2 linked regions of the Lonchura striata genome follow. The main gene of each other region encodes a partner of the protein of the gene in region 2 in a complex. Links are inferred from orthologs where the notes say so. Each region holds a gene or a part of one and is shown on either strand. Other genes may lie near its edges.

Region 1 (9,224 bases), on a different chromosome or scaffold from region 2:
GTACCTGTGGTCCCTTCTGTCCCTCTTGCTCCTCATGATTTATGCACAGAATTTTGACCAAATTTATCAGCACAATGCAGGTTTCAGTCTTCTGGAGGTTACACCCAGATCTATGTGGCAGCCAACCTTGCAAAGCCAACAGGGAACTGGTGTTTCATTAATAAATCATGGCAAAACAATTCACACATAAATATGACACTGTACACACTTGTGTGTGTACAAGTTTGGTTCAAATTCTTAAAATGTGACACTGGTATGTACAAGTTTGATTTAAATTCTTAAAATGTATAAATACAAGCTTCTCTGGTGACTGTTTTTTTCCTGCTGTTGTCCACTGTCAGTAAAGTTTACCAGTATTTTATTTACTGTGGGAATAGCAATTAGTTGATATAATATTTTATGTGGGCAGCAGTTAAAATAAGATCTCCTGAACATGTTCTCTGATCATACTGCTCTCATGCCTGTTTTGTATTTCTCTGGGAGAAAACACCCCAAACAACTCTAGAGGTGGTTAAAAAGGCCTAGAGAGGTTTCTCTGTATGCACAGGTTTTTGTATGGCTTTAACTAAGCAGTTATAAAATCCAGGGCAACTAAGTCAATACAACAGAAAAGATAGGTTGATTTTTCCCCTCCTTCGTTTATTTCCAAACACTATTGTATTGTTAGACCTGTTGATACAGTGGGATGTCCTGCTTTGGATTATGTTTAGTTTTGTACCAGTTCAGTTGTGTGAGCTGGCTGAAGGGCTTTGACTTCAGGATGATGTGGGGTTGTGGTGGTGGAGCCCCAAATGACGTCTGCTGGGTGTCCAGGCTGAGCAGCAGAACAGACCCTATAAAAAGCCTGTGCTTTAGTGAGTGAGTGGTGCTGGTAGAAATAAAGCAGGGGAGCTGCCTGCTCCCCTGCTGTGCCCCCTGTCCAAACCCCTGTGCCCAGCTGCTCCTGACCTGCCAGGCTCTTGGTGCTGCAGCTGGCAGCCACTCTCTCCCTCGCCAAGGCAATCTTGCACCTCTTCTCCCATAGCATTAATTAATATAAATACCTGCAAGGATCTCTCTGAAAGTTTGGCTGTTTACCTGCCAAACCCTACTTAATTGGGATTTGTGGTGGATCTCAAACATAGCTCAAAGACATCACTCAGCAAACCCTTCCTGCACACCTGAGGGACTGTAATTAAACCACACCAGGCCACAGGTTTCTGCATTAACCATTCCTTGCCATGAAAGAAAAGGAAATCAGGGCAGGCAGCTTGCTTCAATAGGTAAGAACAGGGATAATTGAAGGCATTACTCCCATAACTCTGTCAAAAATGGTAAATACGAAGTTTGATTTTTTTCCCCTCTCGGTTTTTCTTCCCATGTATTGCTCCATTTGAAGAGTAGAAGGGGCATGGTCAGCCTGTGGTAGAGTAATCCAGTGGTTAGTTGTTAGTAGCTGAAAAAGAATTTGGAAGAACTGGTTTCAATTCTTTGACAGTTGATTCCTTGTATGTATAAATGTTTATTGCCTCTGGTGACCATCTGTAAAATGAGGCTAATGCCTCACAGCAGGGCTAAGCATGAAACTGTTTAGGCTGTGATGTTCTGAGAAGCTTCTGATTGATTTCAGTCCCTAAAATGGGCCGTGTTTAATGTGATAAGAAGATAACCTTAAGCTTCTGCAAAGGTTAATTGTGTTTCCTGGAATGAAGAGGTTTAGTTGCTGTTTCATTGGTTTGGACACACAAAGTAGAAATGTTTAACCTGTGGCATGGGCTGTGACATCCACACAGGTGGTCCTTCTTTTACTTGAGGAGGAGGGAACAAAACAGATATTCCTAGCTTAGAACTAGGACTGATCAGGCTCCAATGAGTCTGCTCAGTCACTACAAAGGAGTCCAGTAATAAAATACATTTCCTGTTTATGCAATTTACCAAAATTCTAGAGAGACTGTAAATAAGAAGTATCTTATTAGTAAATATTAATTTCTCTTTACAAATAAAAGCACCAATAAATAAAAACTAAAGGAGGCTTGATTAGCTAAAATAAAAAATAAATCAGGGTATAAAAAATACAAATAAATCCATTTATAACATTAAGAGCTTCAAAGGCTAGAGTGGGAAGACCAACACTGTTAACTTTTCAATCTGATGAAAAACGTGAGTTTAAAAGCTGTCTGGATCGACGAGATGGCGAGCAAACTGCTGTCAGAGAGGACACAGCTACAGCAGAAGTAACACAAGAAAACATGTTCAGTGAGAAAACGGGCTGATGACAAGTGGTGAAGATGGTCAGCACGCCTGGAGGGATAACAGGCTCTAAGAGGTGAGAAAAAAAAGGTGACAAGTCAGAGAAAACTTGACCGTGACGGTTTGTTTTTTTTTTTTTTTTTTGGCTGACAAAACCGTTCCAAGGTGAATTGGTGGGTGTAGCTGCCCATCTGGCTGGATTCTGAACCTCCTGCCAGCGACCCTGCTCAACCACATGGCTCCTCCCGTGCAAAGAAGTCTTTGGGCTGACTGGACTTACTGCGGTAGACAGGATGCACGAGGAAGGATGCAATTCAGCACAGGCTATCTTTCCAAAACAGGGACAGGAAAAAGAAAAACAGAACAAAACAAACAACAAAACCACAAAATACCAAACAAACAGAAAAATAAAAGTTCTTCCGCAATACCAGTTCTAGGTAATTTGGGCTTCACTGTGACCAAAATGTAAGAGCTTGCCCTGTCAAAAGCTGACTGCAGCCCCTGCTTTTCAGAAACACATAGAAATTATCTAATTCCTTGTATTTTTTGGCCACAGAGCTGTCTTGGAACTGCAAATAAGCTGTTATGCTGTAGGGGATATTCACATTTACCTCTTTAGAGAGAGGATTACTTTATGTTGGTGAACACGAGTTATAAACTGAATGTAAATATTTACACTAGCTTTACCTTTGGAAGAAAAGCAAAAGTGAAAGCAGTGCAGTAAAAGCACAGCTTGTAGTTCAATGCTTTAGCACAGAGAAAGGTAATATTACATTAAGTGGTGTTTAATTAAAAACAATTCGACTGTGCATTGTTAATCAGTTCATAATTTATGGGCTACTTTTTAATTTACAAATAGCTTTTTGTACTTCACCACCGCAGGTGATATTCTCTGTCAGTTTTGTAGGGCCCATTACATGGCACCTAAGGCATTTCATTAGCATTTAAACGAGACTTAAGTGCCTGAGTAATTCTGAGATAGGCTGTATCTGCCTGGCTAGCTGACTACTGTATTTAATTAATTTCCAGACGCTTTCCTTCCTTGTTCTGAGGGGAAAATGCAAGCTCTGTCTAAAATCTGGTAGTGGTAGGAAGAACAGGCAGGCCACAGTTCTAGCTGCTGCCAAGGTTTCTTGCTCAATTTACTATCTCTAATTTCGTTATTCATCTTAATGAAAAGCTTTCTCTCAAAGAGGACAATATTTGAAAAGTGACCAAGAATGGAATGATCTTGAGCTAATGTGTTGCCTCTATTTCTGTGCCCTGTGTCTGGAGGCAAAGGAAAACAGATTCATTTGTTACAAACTGAAGTGAATCTTCGCCACAGCGAAGTGATGACGGACTTAAAGATGAGTCTGCCAGCTTTGAGCTGGGAGTGGCACTGACCTTGCTGCAATGGAGCAGATTGCATGCAGGCTTGCCGGGGCTGAAACCTGCTGCAACACCAACCAGCAAAAGTCTCTCTGCACGTTCTTCTTCGGTCATGATGAATTAATGTAATAGTGTCTTGAAGTGCTGCACATGCAAGCTACTTCTCCAACAGGAAAAGCTGAAGGCTTTGAGAGAACTGAAGTGGAAAAGGATGTTTTTCACTAACATGGCAAAGTGCAAAATCAAGCAGGACACAGGCTGTGTGCCCTGGTGAGCTGAGAGCAGATTGCTACCCAGGCAGTCAGCACAGGGACATGCTGACACTGGAGGTATCACATGAGTCACACCGGGACGTGGGGTCCTGCAGCTTTTTCTACTCTAATTAATAGAACAGCTTGAGAGTGACCTACAGCCCTTGTGACACAATGAAAAATCCCTGTGTTGGGTAATTTTTACCTCCATGAATTAAAATCATGTGAGAGTCTATTTGCGTAACAGGGATTTTTAGTTTTGCCCAACTGGAGAGACTTAATAGAAAAAGAGCAGACTAAGGAAGGAAAATTTCTGAAACAGTGGTTTGGCTGCAGTAGTGGGAGGTTTAGATGCTTTTCTTTTGAGATGCTGTTTGAGGTGCGTTTGTCCTACTTAAAGACACACAGCTCAGTGGGACACTGTTAAAATACCCTTGTTAAGGTTTGCTGAGCCAGGGCTCAGAGGATTAGACAGGCCCTGGTTTCATGCACACCCAAGCACCTAGAGCACAGGTCTTCTAACCCAGCATCAGCTCCAGTCTGAGGGCTCCTGGTTGGGGTAGCCTGTGGGAGCAATGGGCAGAGTAGGGCCAAAATCACACTCAAGGCTGTGCAAATAACAATAAAACTAAGGGACAGTGCCCTAGGCCAGAGGGGTGAGGCAGGGCTGTCTATTATGAGGACTGTGTGTTGTGTTGGATGGTAATAAGAATTTAAAGCTTTCTTCTGCATTCTTTCTCCACAGTTTGAGGAGGGTGCTGAAATCGTTTGAATCGTACTGACAATGATACTGTTAACTAGATGCACATTTCTTTCACAGACATTTTTACTTGTAATGACTTCTTGTCGCACATGAAGTTTGGCAGGAACCTCAAGCCTCCCCAAGCTGTGAGGTGCAGCTGGATGTGACTCCCAAGTGCCACTGTTTCATCTTTGCCCTATACCTGCCTCTCCCAAGGCAGCGGCAGTGGCTGGCGCTGGCTGGCGCTGGCAGTGCTGTCCCAGCCAGCCTGCCCCGCTCCATGGATTCCCAGCTGGATACTCCTCGTGTTAAAGAATCAGTCCTGTAACAATCTGATCAAGCATCACCTTAGAACCTGGTTCGTTTAATGGATGCACTCCTCCAGTGAGGCTGTGCCAGAGACCTTAATTTCTGGCGGATCCCTTCCAATTTCGGAGCTGAACTTATGCATGGCTACTCCACACCTGTTTGTTCTTGTGCCAGCCTTCTGTCAGCCTCAACAGCTCTTCTGCCTCGCCGCCGTTCCCGCACTTTGATGTCCTCGGGGGAGGGGGTACATCCCTGTCATTTCTCACGCTACTCCACATTAAATCAGCCAAACTCCCTCTTTTCGTAGGCTGTCCTGCTCCGCTTCAGGCTGCCCCCGCAGCCTGCCCCCATCCCTGCCCGGCACCGCAGCTCTTCCCTCAGGGCGGGCACAGGGGAGCGGCCCCTTCCCGCTTCCCTCGCGCTTCTCAGGTGCGCCCGCAGCTGCGTGTGCGTAAAGCAAAGCGGGGCCAACGTGAGCGCTCCCCTGCTAAAAACAAACCAAAACAAATCAAACAGCACAGCAAACCTGCGCACCGCGCGGCCTTCCCGGCCTCTGCCCCGCTCCGCAGCCCCGTCCCGCCGCGGCCGGGCAGGGCTGGGCCGGGCCGGGCCAGGGGAGGAGCGGCGGGAGACGGAAGTGAAAACAAGAGCGGGGGCTGGAGCCGCCGCCTCGCAGACGCGCTGCGCTGTCCTCGCCTCTCCGCGCTGAGCCGCGCCGCCGGGTGAGTGCCGCGGCGGCCAAAGCGAACAGAAAAATAACCAGGGGGGGAATCAGGCTAAGAGTCAGTAGGCTGGGCGCGGTTTGTAAAGCTCCGCGGTGCTTGTTTTCGTTTCATTTAACTTCTGTAAGCAGGACGCGCAACTTGCCGCGGTGGCCGAGCGCCCGGCCGGGGTGCCGAGGTGCGGCGGGGGCGCGGCCCGGGGCAGGAGGGCAGGCAGCTCCCGCCCGGGCTGCGGGACACCTGCGGGGCTCCTCGCCCCCAGCCGTGCCCGTAGGGCTGCTTGGACACAGGCTCCGGTGCGTCCCGCTCCCCGGGCTTTGTGGCACCCGCGGGGCTGCACGCCGGGCGCCCCTGGAGCGGCTGGAGCCGAGACCGAGCGCTCCTGCGGGGAGTTGTGGTCCCCAGGCTGCGCTGGCCGTGGGGCTCCTCGCCCCGGGGAGGTGGGCAGAGCGGGGTGCGGGGCGTACGGGGGCGGGAGGGCTCCTCTGGGCGCTGCGGGCCGACGGCTCAGCGCCCTGGCGGCGGCGGTGCGGGCCGCCGTTCCGGCCGGGAATTTGAAATTCCCCCTTCCAGACTCAGGTCCACTAAGCGTTTGATCGTCTAAAGGAAAGTTGCACATTTTCACCCTTAGCTGGTTTGTTTGCACAACGTTTGTTTGTTTGCTCCGCACGTGAATTTCATGGTTCGCGGTGTTTTGCTTTAGCTATTGCCTTGCCATATTATGACATTTGTTAAATAAAATTTGGAGCGAGTCTTCTTTGTTTGCCGTTACTTCCTGGTGTATCTGTCAGGCTAGAGATGCAGATATACCAGAATTAAAGGGATGAGAAAGATGAGTGATGCCGAGTGTGATGCACGGTAATTCAGAGTGCAGTTTCTTCCCTCCTATTTCCAGTTGCTACAAATGAAAAAGAATGGTATCAATTCCTAACAGAATCCATTATTTTTCCTGGGTCTGTAGCAGTAACTAGTTGATGCTCAACTTCAATAAATAAAAAAAAAATCTACACAGGTGCTTTAGCTTTCAATTGCCAAGTAAAGCCTGCTCACCTGTGTGAAACAACTGCACTGTATGCTGGTCAGTAGATGTGGCTTGCTTTTCTGCAGTTTTATATTTTAGAGTGACCTGTCACTGCAGTGGATTTCTTTTAGCGGGAGTGAACAGAATGTGTATTTTTATGCAGGAAGAAATCTGTGACCAATTCAGATCCTCTTTTTAAAAGAACTCTGTGCGTAGGACAATTTAACAGCTTAGTTCTCGTTGTAGTGGTGAGGAAGCCTCTTAAGAATCCTAGCTCAAGCTTGGCGGGGACTTTTCTTCCTCTTTAGCGACAGGAGAGCTCAATATTGTGTGCATCCCCTGTTGTTCATTGATGCTTGTCGAGGTTTTTAAGGGTGGGTTGAGTCAGCGCCTGGGGTCAGAGCTGCCCGTTTGCTGGATGCTAGCAGGCAGTGGTGGGTTGGGAATGGCCCAGTTACGCAGGCATCTCTGGTACAAGCTCCAAATTCTGCTTCCTAATACATACATATTTATATCTTGTGCTGCCTGATGCCAGTAGCCCTGCTCTGGTTACCTGAGTGGCCGTCGGTGTGAATAAAGCTCACTGTGTGATTTAGGAAAAAAGTGTGAGCAGTGGATCTCTGCTGCTTTGGGAGGTGAACCCAAAAACGTGCGTTGTGGATGACTTTTTTGGGGGGTGACATCTTTGCATCGATGGGGGTTGTGCGACAACCCTGCTCTCATGTTCCCTCATGTTCCTCGGGGGTGGGCTGCATTTGGAAAAATCCTCCGCCTCTGAGAAACTAACGTGGCGCCCTGCAGCGTGCGAACAGCCAAAACTGGGCTTTTCAGAGTTCCGTGGGGTTTGCAGCCGCCTGCTGCTGCTTGCCTGAAGGTCCACCTTAAATGTCCCTATATGAGTATGGAATCTGGCTGTGCCCCGGTGTAGTCTTACACCAGCCTGCCCTGGTGTGCTCCTGCCGGGCTTCAACTACACAAAAATAGACGGCATCCACTACCTAAGATGTCATTGTAACATTACTTATCTAAGGTGGAACTGAAGCCCTTATCTTTGACGCTGAGCAGCGCTTAAATATCTCTGTTGCCTTTTAAAGGTAATTTGTCGGATACATTTTTGGAGAGGGAGATGCGTGGGTTTTGCTTCCTCAGCATTGAATTATAACTGTGGATGTTTTGCTTTAGTTCACAGCTTTCATTTTTAGGGTTGGTTTTAATATCGGACTCATCTGTGATATTGTTCTGCCACTACGAAGCTATGCTGTAAAAATAAAAAACGTCACAGGGATTTTATTTTCGTCTGATTAACTGCAAAGTTGTGATGCTTTTGGCGTTGTTGTATTTAGAAATAAGCTTTGAGCTGATGACAGGGCAGCATATGATACTAATTTTGTTAGAAATGAATGTGCTAGTAGTGCTAATGTCTTCCATACTTCAGTTTAAGGGATGCTATCAATTCATGCTTGTCTCAATATTGACTTATTTTAAGCTGGTCTTTCATGCTGGATGGTTTTACCACCGCTGCCCCACATGGTGTTTTGCTAGTAAAAAGCAGTTGTCAAATATTTTGGCGGCAGCAGTTCTCCAGATTCTGTTTCTTCCTAAGCTATGGAGGGAAACAACATATAGGGAATAAAAGCACAAGTCATGACAGACCTGGTGTGGGGTTTTTGGCTGTTTTGGGGGGAGGGGAATATAGCCAAAGAAAGAATGTTTCCAAAATTGCGGACAGTGCCTTTTGTTTTTATCACCTTTAAATTAAAACTCTAATCCTCTTCTGCAGGCATCAGTTCTTTGGATTTGGTCCTTGAATACTAAACATCATGAGCAACTACAGCGTGTCTTTGGTCGGGCCGGCTCCCTGGGGTTTCAGGCTTCAAGGGGGCAAGGATTTCAATGTGCCTCTGTCTATCTCTCGGGTAAGTGTATTTGCTTTTTTTCCTGCATGTGGGTATCTGTTATGCTGTGGCCAACCCACAACCTTCAGACAAAGCCATTAATTATAGACGCTGGGGCTCCACTTGCCCTGTGGCATGGAGGACCCCATGGTAGGGGTCGGGGAGGGAGGGATAGAAAGGGGAAAATAAATCTGTATTGTATAAAGGCTCCAAGAAAATTAGCTTAGGAAGGACTTGTTCATTTGAAATGGTTGTTTTATCTGCATTTGTTTATTCAAATAACAAAAAAAATTGCCCTCGAATTCCCTTCCCTGTTCCCACCCAGAAAATAGAGATGTAGAGGTTGAAGGCTGACAGGAAACAAGCAATTTACTTTGCTGGGCTGAGCCTGTGCGTTTCAAATGGGAAGCAGTGGGGAAAAATCACTCGTGTTGCACTTGTTTATTCAGCAGCTTTTAGCTGCCTGAGGATCTTGTGGTGTCTGCTATTACAAATCCTACCATTTGTAATAAAAAGGTACTTAAATGACAGTAGTTGTAAATAGCAGTTCATCAATATGTGCCTCAGTGAACGTGCCAGTTTCTCATGAGTGTTTTATAGAGTATGTGCTCTGAACTGGTATTCAAAGGATTTGAGGAAATAAGTCAAAACAAATACGATCTTTGTACCCAGCACTGTCTAACT
Region 2 (9,246 bases):
TTTGCTAGGAGGTTTTCAGTGTGTCCTTTCATTAGCAGGTACCTACCTGCCTTTAGCTCTAAAGGAACAGCCTCACCACGTTCGCTGAGCTCCAAATTCTGGCACTAATGAAGTAATTCACCCAGAGAGGGTCAGATTTTGGGCCTTTGGGGATTAAGCTGGTGTTTTTAGGAGGTTCACAAGGGAAGAGCTCATTTTCATACCTGAGCACTGGCAGTCTGCTAGCAGCAGCCCCTGAAAATGGGGTTATTTAAGGGTTGCACAAGTGCTGTGGGAGTGTGTTGGATGCTGTAGCTCAGTCAGTGTTGTCTCCATAGCAGCAGTACCCGAAGGTAGGGTGGAGGCTGAAAACCAGCCCTTGCTTTTCCAAAGCACTGAGCTCTGCGTGCTTGGGAGAGGGTGAAGAATTCTCTCATTGCATGTATCAATATCACAGTAGTCCCAAAGTGAGCTGCAGTTGCTGGGGCTCGCTGCAGACATCCAGGGGCACTTCTGACCCTTAGAGCAAGGGTGTGTCCTTACCTGCTGTTCAGCACTGTGGAAGGTGAAACCGCCACAAGTCTGAGGTGTTTTGGGAAGAGGTGTTTTGGGGAAGAGCTTAGGAAGAGGCAGCCTGGAGCTGTTGATCTATGATTGGAGTAGAGCCCTTTTAACACAAAGAGAGGAAGGAAGATGAAACACTCCCAGACCTAGGTGAGCAGTGCTTATTTGAGTGGGAAAACCGAACTGTTCCAACTCACATAAGAAACTGGAGTGTTCTTAATTCTTCATAGCCATTAGAAACACTGCTTGTGCACTCAGCATTATCAGGGGAATGCGCAGCACTCTCCCTTTTAGCAATCCAGGCATTTAGAACCCTGAGCACAGCATACCAGCACTGCTATGCAACTCAAAGGCTCTCTGGGTAGATTATATAAACACAAATGTCACACAAGGCCAAGAAGGAACTGAGAAGCAGAACTGATTAGAGAAAATTCCTGTAACCTAAGATGCCTTTAAAGCAAGAGACCACTTGGACACACACGGGAGCCCACCTGCCTGAGACAATGAGCTGTAAGGGGAGACAGCGATGAGCACTGCGGGGATGAGACAGCCGGGAGTCAAATTCCCCTTCCAAGAGTGCTTCAATCACCGGGTACCCAGGGTGGGGATGCTCGTGTTCTGCAGGTGGGCACACAGGAGGGGATCCCAGCTGCTCTCACAGCTCCTCACGCTGACAGCTCTAGCAGCATCTCGGCTGATAGAGCTGCGGGGGGCTCTCCACACTGCTGTCCCCCAGCATATGCTGTGCTGACACTGCCTCAGAGATACCCACCCACTCTGCCTTTCTCCCACAGAGAAACTGAAGGCTGCACTTGGCCACGGGCCCAGTCTGCTGTTTTCTTTTATTCACTAAAGCTATAAACAGCAGGGAATGAAAACAGTCCGGGGCCATCGGTGGTCTGATGGCTTCGCTGGCTGCCTGTGACCGTGAATCCATCCAAAGGGGAACAGGAGTCAGCAAAAACCTCCAGAGAGGGAGGGGGCTTAAGGAATGCTTACTTTCATTAGTTCTGAAGAGGAAATGAGTAGCTTTCACTTTTTTCTTCTTAATTAGTATCTGCCTCCATCTAGTTTAATCTTACTTAGTTGCTCTGTAATTTGGCCATAACCCAGCTCTAGGGGATGGAAACAGAGCTATGACTGCCCAGCTCAGGATGACTTTTCCTGACCCTGCTCTGAAACAGAAGTGAGCAAAGGGTGTGGGCAGACCCAGGTGAGGCAGCTTGGGGCAGGAGGAGCCCCAACAGGATCCTGACACTGGAAACACAGCTGATAAATCCCTTCTCCGGGAGAACCTAGCCTGCAAACTTCCCTTAGGGTGACAGCAGCTGCTTGAAGGGACAGAGAGGAGCTGTGGTGCAGTCATGCTCCCTGAGAAACACAGCTCTTTCCCACCCAGTGCTCCATCCCTGGCTGTGCACAGGGTCAATCCAGGCCGCTGCATCCCACATGCGAGAGCCTGCAGAGCTCAATCAGCTCCTTTATTTCTGGGTGTGCCACTTCTGTGGATGGAAGATTGGCTTCCAGCCACAGGAAGCAAGAGCCATTGCTGGAGCCAGTGAGGATTCCTGCAGGGACAAACAGGAGCACCAAGGAGGTGGAAGTTTTTAAGCATGTGAAATACAGATCTGACTTCTGGAGTATTTTTGTTCCTCTGCACAACTCTGGACCCAGTAAAGCCCAGCTGCATGACACTGTGCTTGAGAACTGATGTTTTCTTGGAGGTGATGAAGATCAGTGATGATTTTTCTCATTATGCTAATAGTGTTTGGGGGCCACTACTGTGGGCTTGGAAAGAAATCCTGGAACTCCAGAAAATCACAGGCAGGGAGATGGATAGAACAGCGGATCTTTTATTTGCTGGTGAGAAGCTTAACAGAGTTTTTTGCAGTAAATGTATAATTAAAGAGACAGAATTGTGGAATGCATTGCATTGGGAGGGACCTTAAAGCTCATCTTGTTCCAGGCTCCATGAGCAGGGACACCTTCCACTGTCCCAGGGTGCTCCAAGCCCTGTCCAGCCTGGCCTGGGACACTTGCAGGGATCCAGGGGCAGCCACAGCTTCTCTGGGCACCCTGGGCCAGGGCCTCATCCCCCTCACAGGGCACAATTCCTTTCTTGTATCTAATCTGAATATCTCTCCCTTACTTTGAAACAGTTACCCCTATCACTGTGTAAAAAAGGCTCTCCCAACATCCTCATCAAGATAAACACTGCCGTGTGATTAAGACTACATTATTATGCGGTGAAGTCAGGAAAATGTGACCACGGCTGTTTCCCCTGGCCAGTTTAGTGGCAGCAAGCACAGGAAGCTGTGCCAGCGCTGCTCTCCGTCGTTGCTGCTCCCGGAGCTCTCCAGAAGGGGCCAGTGTGCCCTCGCCTTTCGGGGCCGCAGGAAACCTGCCCAGGCCTGTGTTTTTATTTAGAAAATGCTGAGCTGGCTGGAAAGTTGATGAAGAGGGATGCAGCTGTATTAATGTGCTTCTTCCTGGGGATTTGAATGCATTTTCTGAGCGGTGCAGGAGAACCAGGGATCAGGGAGACAATGTGCAGGGAAGCAGCTCTGCTGACCACACTCGGATATTTTAAACCTTGTGTCATGGGATTTCAGCAGCTTAAAATTTGTTTTTTAGGACTGAGTGCATTAGTCAGAGGCTCCTGCCTGCAGCAGGACAAGGCTGGGAGCACTTTGGAGTCACTCTGACACGGGAGGAGCGCCAGGCCCTATCTGTGCTGTGGCCACAGATCAGCTTTTCCACTTGGAGCTTTCAGGCTCAGCTCCCTCTGATCCCCGTGAAGGTCACAGGGATTGCAGCAGTGCGGTGAGCCTTGTGTCTCCTGGAATAAAGAACATCCTCAGCGTCTGCAGCCTGCTGCTGCCCAGAGCGGTCATGGGTGGGGTTTGTGTGCCCGTGGGCTGACAGCCGTGCGTGGGGCTGACACTGCCTGCACTGCACTGCAGGTACGGTTAAAAAAAGCTCGGCAGTGCATCTGCAGCTCTCTGCATGCTTTTATCTTCTTTAGCTGGAAATGAGTAATTTCCCTGTGCTCTACAGAGATGCCCAATTTCCTTGGAAATTGTTCAGTTCTGCAGAGTCCCCAGAAATCCCCAGTGATGGGACCCACATTTTGCACTGGGTGTTTTACCAGTCTTGAGAGATGCCTGGGGATTTTCACAAGTCAGAGAAATTAAAAAAAAATTAAAAATAATGGATCGAAGCACCTGAGACTTTACTCGGTTCATATTTATTCCGAAGGGCACGTGAACCTTCTGTACTGAGCACGTCATCGTGCAAAGCCCTAATGTGGGCCGTGGCTCCTCACGGACAGGATTTCTGCACTCATCCCTCGCGGCGAGGAGGACGCAGAGCCCCCGGGCCCCGTCCGCTGTTCCTGTGGGGGCCTCCGGTACCGACCGGTCTGAGGGGCGACCGCGGCCCGGCCGCTCCGCCACAGCCCCTCACGGCCCCGGCCGGTCTGAGGGGCGACCCCGGCCCGGCCGCTCCGCCACAGCCCCTCACAGCCCCGGCCGGTCTGAGGAACGACCCCAGCCCGGCCGCTCCGCCACAGCCCCTCACGGCCCCGGCCGGTCTGAGGAACGACCCCGGCCCGGCCGCTCCGCCACAGCCCCTCACGGCCCCGGCCGGTCTGAGGAGCGACCGCGGCCCGGCCGCTCCGCCACAGCCCCTCACGGCCCCGCCGCGCGGCATGCCGGGACTTGTAGTCCCCGCCGCCCCCAGGGCCCCCCCTCCGCCTGGCACGGCGAACTACCGCCCCCAGCATGCCGCGCGCGGCGCCGCCAGCCCGCCGGGCCCCCGCTCCCCCGCCCGCCGCACCGTGGGGCGGGGGGCGCTCCGAGGCCCGCGGGACGGGACGCTGTGGACGCGATATCCCGGGACAGGGAGGAACGCAACGGGACGGGACGGGACGGCCCGGGGCGGCGGGGCCGGGCCCCGCAGCTGGCGGAGGCGCGGGGGCGGTGCTCCCGGCGGCAGCCGGCACTTCCTGTGACGGCCCATTTCCTGGTCGGATGGGGCCGGCGGGGGGCGGCGGCGGCGGGGTCGGTCCCTGTCCGTGTCCCTGACGGGCTCGGTGGTCGCCGGTGACGCCGCCAGGCAGCGATGCGGGCCCCGGGCGCTGCCGGCAGCCGGCCCCCGCCGTGAGCCGGTGGGGCTGCGCAGGCCGGCCCCGCGGGGCGCATGGAGGCACCCGCCGCGCTCTGCGAGGTACCGGGCAGGGTCGCGCGGTCGGGGCTCGCGGAGCGGCCCGCGGCGGTGACTCGCCAGCCCGTTATCCCCGCTGCTTCCGCAGGTGTGAGTCCCCGCGGGACAGCGCGGCTCGGCCCCGCCGGGCCAGCGGCCCCGGGCCCCGCTCAGCGGCCGCGGCAGAGCCAGGAGGGGTCGGCACCGACACCGGCGTCGCGGCGGCCGCCGCCTCCTGAGACATGAAGAAGTTCTTCGACTCGCGCCGGGAGCAGGGCGGCTCCGGGCCCGGCTCGGGCACCAGCGGCGGCGGCGGCGGCAGCAGCGGCCCGGGCAGCGGCTACATCGGCCGGGTCTTCAGCATCGGCCGGCACCAGGTCACGGTGGACGAGGTGCTGGCGGAAGGTAAGGTCCCGGTGCCGTTCTGAGCGCTGCTTTTGCCTCCCCGAGCTGAAAGGGAGGCCTCGAGCTGTCCCGGGCACCCAGCCTCCTCCCTGACCCCCGGATTCCTGAGTATTTCACCGTCCTTGGCAGAATTGCAGTCCAGTGGTGTCTGTAAGCTGACGTGTCTGATCTTCCCATCTGTAAGTCCAGTGTGGGTTTCCTGGATTTGGTTTTTTTTTTGTTTTTGTTTTTGTTTTTTTTTTTTTAATGCTTCAGAAATTGGAGGAATGTTGTTAGAAGTTGTTTCTCACTTCTTCTAAACTGGGAGTTAAAAAAAACAAAATAAACAAACACCCAAACCAAAATTGTCAAATATTTTGGTGCAGAACAAGGTGCTGTAAATAAAAAAAGTGGTGTCCTTCACTCTTAAACTTTCTTCAGCTGTTACCTCCTTTCCTATCTCAAGCTGAGAGGATTAAAACACTGGAGTAAATTCCTTGTAGCTATGTTATGTACATAGGCTGGCTGTGACCTGGGATGAGGGATTTCTCTGTGTGTGGGATGTCTGCAAGGGGAAGTGGTGATCCCAATTGCCTTTTTTTTTTTTTTTTTTTTTTTTTATAATTTTATTTATTTATTTTGTTTTCCCCAAATAAAACAGACACCTAAAAATGAATCCTAGGGGTTATGGAACTCATGATGTGTGCAGGCCTTGCAGTGCAGCAAGCTGCTGGTGGCATTTGTTTAATTGTAACCAGCCCTGCTGCTTGAACTATCATTTTACATTTCATTTGTTGGGGCTGTAAGGAACCTCCTGCATGGCTCTGCCTGGTAACCTTAGCCTCGACCTTCAGAGAGATGTTGGCCTCTTCAGACCTGCTCCTGGTGCCTCCTGCACAGCATCCTGGGCAGATTTAGTCCAAACAGTGTTTTGTTTTGATGGCGAAGGAGAGGAGAGCTGCTGGGAGAGAGCTGAGTGGGAGGACCTGTGTTGGCTTTTACAGAAAGAGCCCTAAAATGGAAAAGGGACTCTGTGTACGCTGCCTGTGTTCAGATTTGTAAGAATTCACCGCGGTGTACAAGAAAATAGGTCTGTGGCTGTTTTTTTAGACTTGGTTTCTGATGTGTTCTGCTGAGAGGAGAACCAAAACCAGGCTTTTACCTAGCAGCTATAGTGATTTTTTTTCCTTTGAAATTTGCAATACAGGTTTGCCTGGACTGATACTTGCGAGGCCCTTTTGGCCCTGGAAGCTTAGGATCTACATGAGCTAAACTTGAGAAGCTGTCAGTCTCTTTTTAATGCAGGATGGCCTCATCCTGGTAACATGGGAAGGCAGAGGCTTTTTTTGCTGATGAGTAATGTGCTGGCAGGTTCTGCCCCGGGAAGCGAAGCCGTGTGTCACCGGGCTCTCCTGCTGCAGCAGAGGTGGAGGTGGGAGCACGAATTGCCTGAGAGAAGAGCCTCCCTTCTCTGCCTCCCTGTCCTGGGGGGAGCTGCTGCTTGTGGGGGCTTTTCCCTGCATCTCCTGCTTCCTGGGCTGGCTGTGGGATGGAGCACGGCCTGCAGCTCTGGGCTGCTCACAGCAGGCTAGCACACCTGTGAAGCAGGGGCTGTGTTTGTTCTGTGAGGCAGAGGGAGTTCTGGTGAAAGGTGCTGCCCAGGTATCTCCCTCCCAGCGAGACTTTGCTGTGGGCGGTGTGAAATCCTTCTGTGTGCAGAGGGGACACGAGCAAGGCGGTGTGTCGGTTTGCAGCTCGTCACCTTTTGTTGGGAACAGTGACAATGCCATTTCCTCTGTAGGAAAGTTGGGCCAGCTGGGGAGCAGCGTGGGTCAGGAGTGCTGCAGCTCTGCATGCCTGAGTGTGGCTGAGTGTGCTGGTAAACAGCCTTTTCTAAACCCTGACTCAGCTGGAGACCTGGGGAGCTCGTGGGCAGCCCGGTCCCCACGCTCCTGACGTCTGAAACCTCGGCTGGAAAACCTCTCTGTATCTGCAGTGGTTCCAGCAGTGCTGAAGAGGCAACTCCTGGCTATTTCTGCTAAAAGGAAAAGTCCCCTGGGAAGCACTTTGTAGGAGGAGTATCCTGTCTGGGAAGGAAGGACCTGTCATCCCCGTTGCTTTAGGAGGGAGGGGGGAGGCCTGTGTTTAGGTGCAGCCTGTGAAACATGAAAAAAAAAAAGAGATGTAAAAGTGGCTTAAAGAGAGAACTGATGCAGTGATGAATGGTGCGGAGGAGACTTGAGTTGAACCAGAAGTTTTGGAATTGAAACATTGTGATTTGCTCTCAGAGCTGTGCCTGGTCACCCTGAATTCTGCTGAGCAACCCTGCTGGTGAGGAGTGTGCCCTGGCTGCAGCACTGCCTGTGCCAAGTGGCAAATGGCTCCAAATACCTCTGGGCTCTTGTGTGGATCTCCCAAATTACCTGTTCTGGTTAGGAGCACCCCTCACCCCTAAAAATAGTTCTGTCTGGATGCTTGCCTGCCTTGGCAGGGAGGAACATCCTTTCCTTTTTAGAAGGAAGTAGATGGGAATAATGTAGAAGGAATTTGAGGGGTTGGTTGTGGCGTCAGGATACGGTGAATCAGTGGGTTTTTTACAGTGTGTTGCAATAGGTTGTACCTAGTTGGGTCTTTGTAACTCTCCTGCTCTAATCTATATAATAGCACAAATAAGCTCTTGAAAAATTCCCCTCAGAGTTTGCAGAAGGATTATCTGTGGTGGGAGGGCAGTGCTGTTGGTCCTGGGGGTCTGCAGGGTCAGATTTGAAGTCACACAGTGCCCCAGTATGGGTTTAGGGGCATTGTGGCTGGTTTTGGGGTGAGTGGTGTTTCACAGAGCTGAATGCAATCCCCAGGAGCTCTTGCAGTGTGGGGCTGAGTCAGGCTGCTGTCTTGCTGTTTTCTTTCTGAAAATAAACCAAAACTGCGTTGTACCAAATCAGATCCTGCTCTTTGTTTCTGCCTGTGTGTAGGGGGAAGACCCTACACAAACAAAATAAACACAAACCCTACACAAACAACAAAACCTCACCCCAGAGCCCCATGCTGGAGCTCTTGGGAGTTTGGTGTCCCTCTGATAGAGAACAAAACAGCAGAAACATTGAGAAGGATGTTGCCATAAATGAGGGATTTGCTAAGGAGTTTGGGAGAGGTGTGTGGCAAAGTACCACAAGGCACGGGTACTCCTCCGAGCTAAAACAGGTTGGAGATTGCCCCAGTGTCCCATTTCTGAGGGCCGCTGTGCTTTGTGTGACTCTGTACTCCCAGTGTTGTCAGAGAGTGCTGAGCTGACCCGAGGTGTGTAAACATTGATGGGGCACGTGCTTGAACAGGGTTTTGTCTTGCTCTGCTTCTAGCAGAAAGTACAGGCTGTGTTCCTGCAGGTCTGTGAAAAGCTACTTTTAAAATGAGTTGTACTTTTTTGAAAGTCTTTTCCCCTTCAAGTGTGTAAGTAAGGGATTCAGGTTTAATGATTGTTGGCTGTCTCACTTAAGTTTTTCTGGTATGTGCCTGTGTGCTGTAGCTAGTGTTGATTTGAAAGCATTTAATGGTTGGTATTACAAACCAGTGCAAAGTCACAAAATCATCTTACATTTGCCAGCTGTATTTTTCCTCTGTTTTGAAAAGAGGGACACTGTGGGCTTCATCCTGAATTTCCTTAGCAGACCTGCAGGCCAGTGCATGTGGGGAGCAGCTGGGGGAGGCTGTGAATGCCCAGCCTGGTGGGGTGGGGTGCCCTGAGCTGCCCAGGGCTGTGGCTGGCCTGAGTGCAGAGGGTTTCTGCTGACCCCTGCCCTGCTCACCCTTGGCACCTCCCTTCCCTGCAGCACCAGAACCTGAAGTCACTGAAAACACACGTGAGCTTCTTCTGAAATAATTTCACTTTAAAGCAAACCCCATCTGAGGCACATTTTGCAGATTTATGTGATCCTCAACTCAATTCCAGTGTGGCTGGGTTCAATACACTGCTTTGAAGTGTATTTTGCGAGTTACTGCTTTCTAGTTTCAGCCAAGGGCCAGCTGCTAATCAGCTGACCAGTGACATTTGGATTAGGAATTAAACTGTTTCTCCTCTTGGAGTGGAACATGTGATTTTTTTCTTTTTATTTTTTCCCT

The links.
Region 1: the proteins of AAK1 (region 2) and PDLIM5 are in contact, whole or in part, in a crystal structure (PDB 9F6S), measured with the Homo sapiens proteins. The link is inferred for Lonchura striata from reciprocal best matches to the Homo sapiens genes AAK1 and PDLIM5. Residues at the interface, in NP_055726.4 of Homo sapiens: Asp956, Leu958, Ile959, Asp960, Leu961; in NP_006448.5 of Homo sapiens: Ala12, Pro13, Trp14, Gly15, Phe16, Arg17, Leu18, Phe24, Gln67, Ile70, Lys71.

The regions. Positions count from the first base shown.
Region 1 is NC_134606.1:51,584,534-51,593,757, reverse strand, and holds the start of PDLIM5 (PDZ and LIM domain protein 5), read left to right. Parts: upstream 1-5,497; 5' UTR 5,498-5,624; intron 5,625-7,509; exon of another isoform or gene 7,510-7,739; intron 7,740-8,425; 5' UTR 8,426-8,465; coding exon 8,466-8,561; intron 8,562-9,224. UniProt on the Homo sapiens protein: May play an important role in the heart development by scaffolding PKC to the Z-disk region. May play a role in the regulation of cardiomyocyte expansion. Isoforms lacking the LIM domains may negatively modulate the scaffolding activity of isoform 1.
Region 2 is NC_134634.1:247,088-256,333, reverse strand, and holds the start of AAK1 (AP2-associated protein kinase 1), read left to right. Parts: upstream 1-4,973; 5' UTR 4,974-4,988; coding exon 4,989-5,151; intron 5,152-9,246.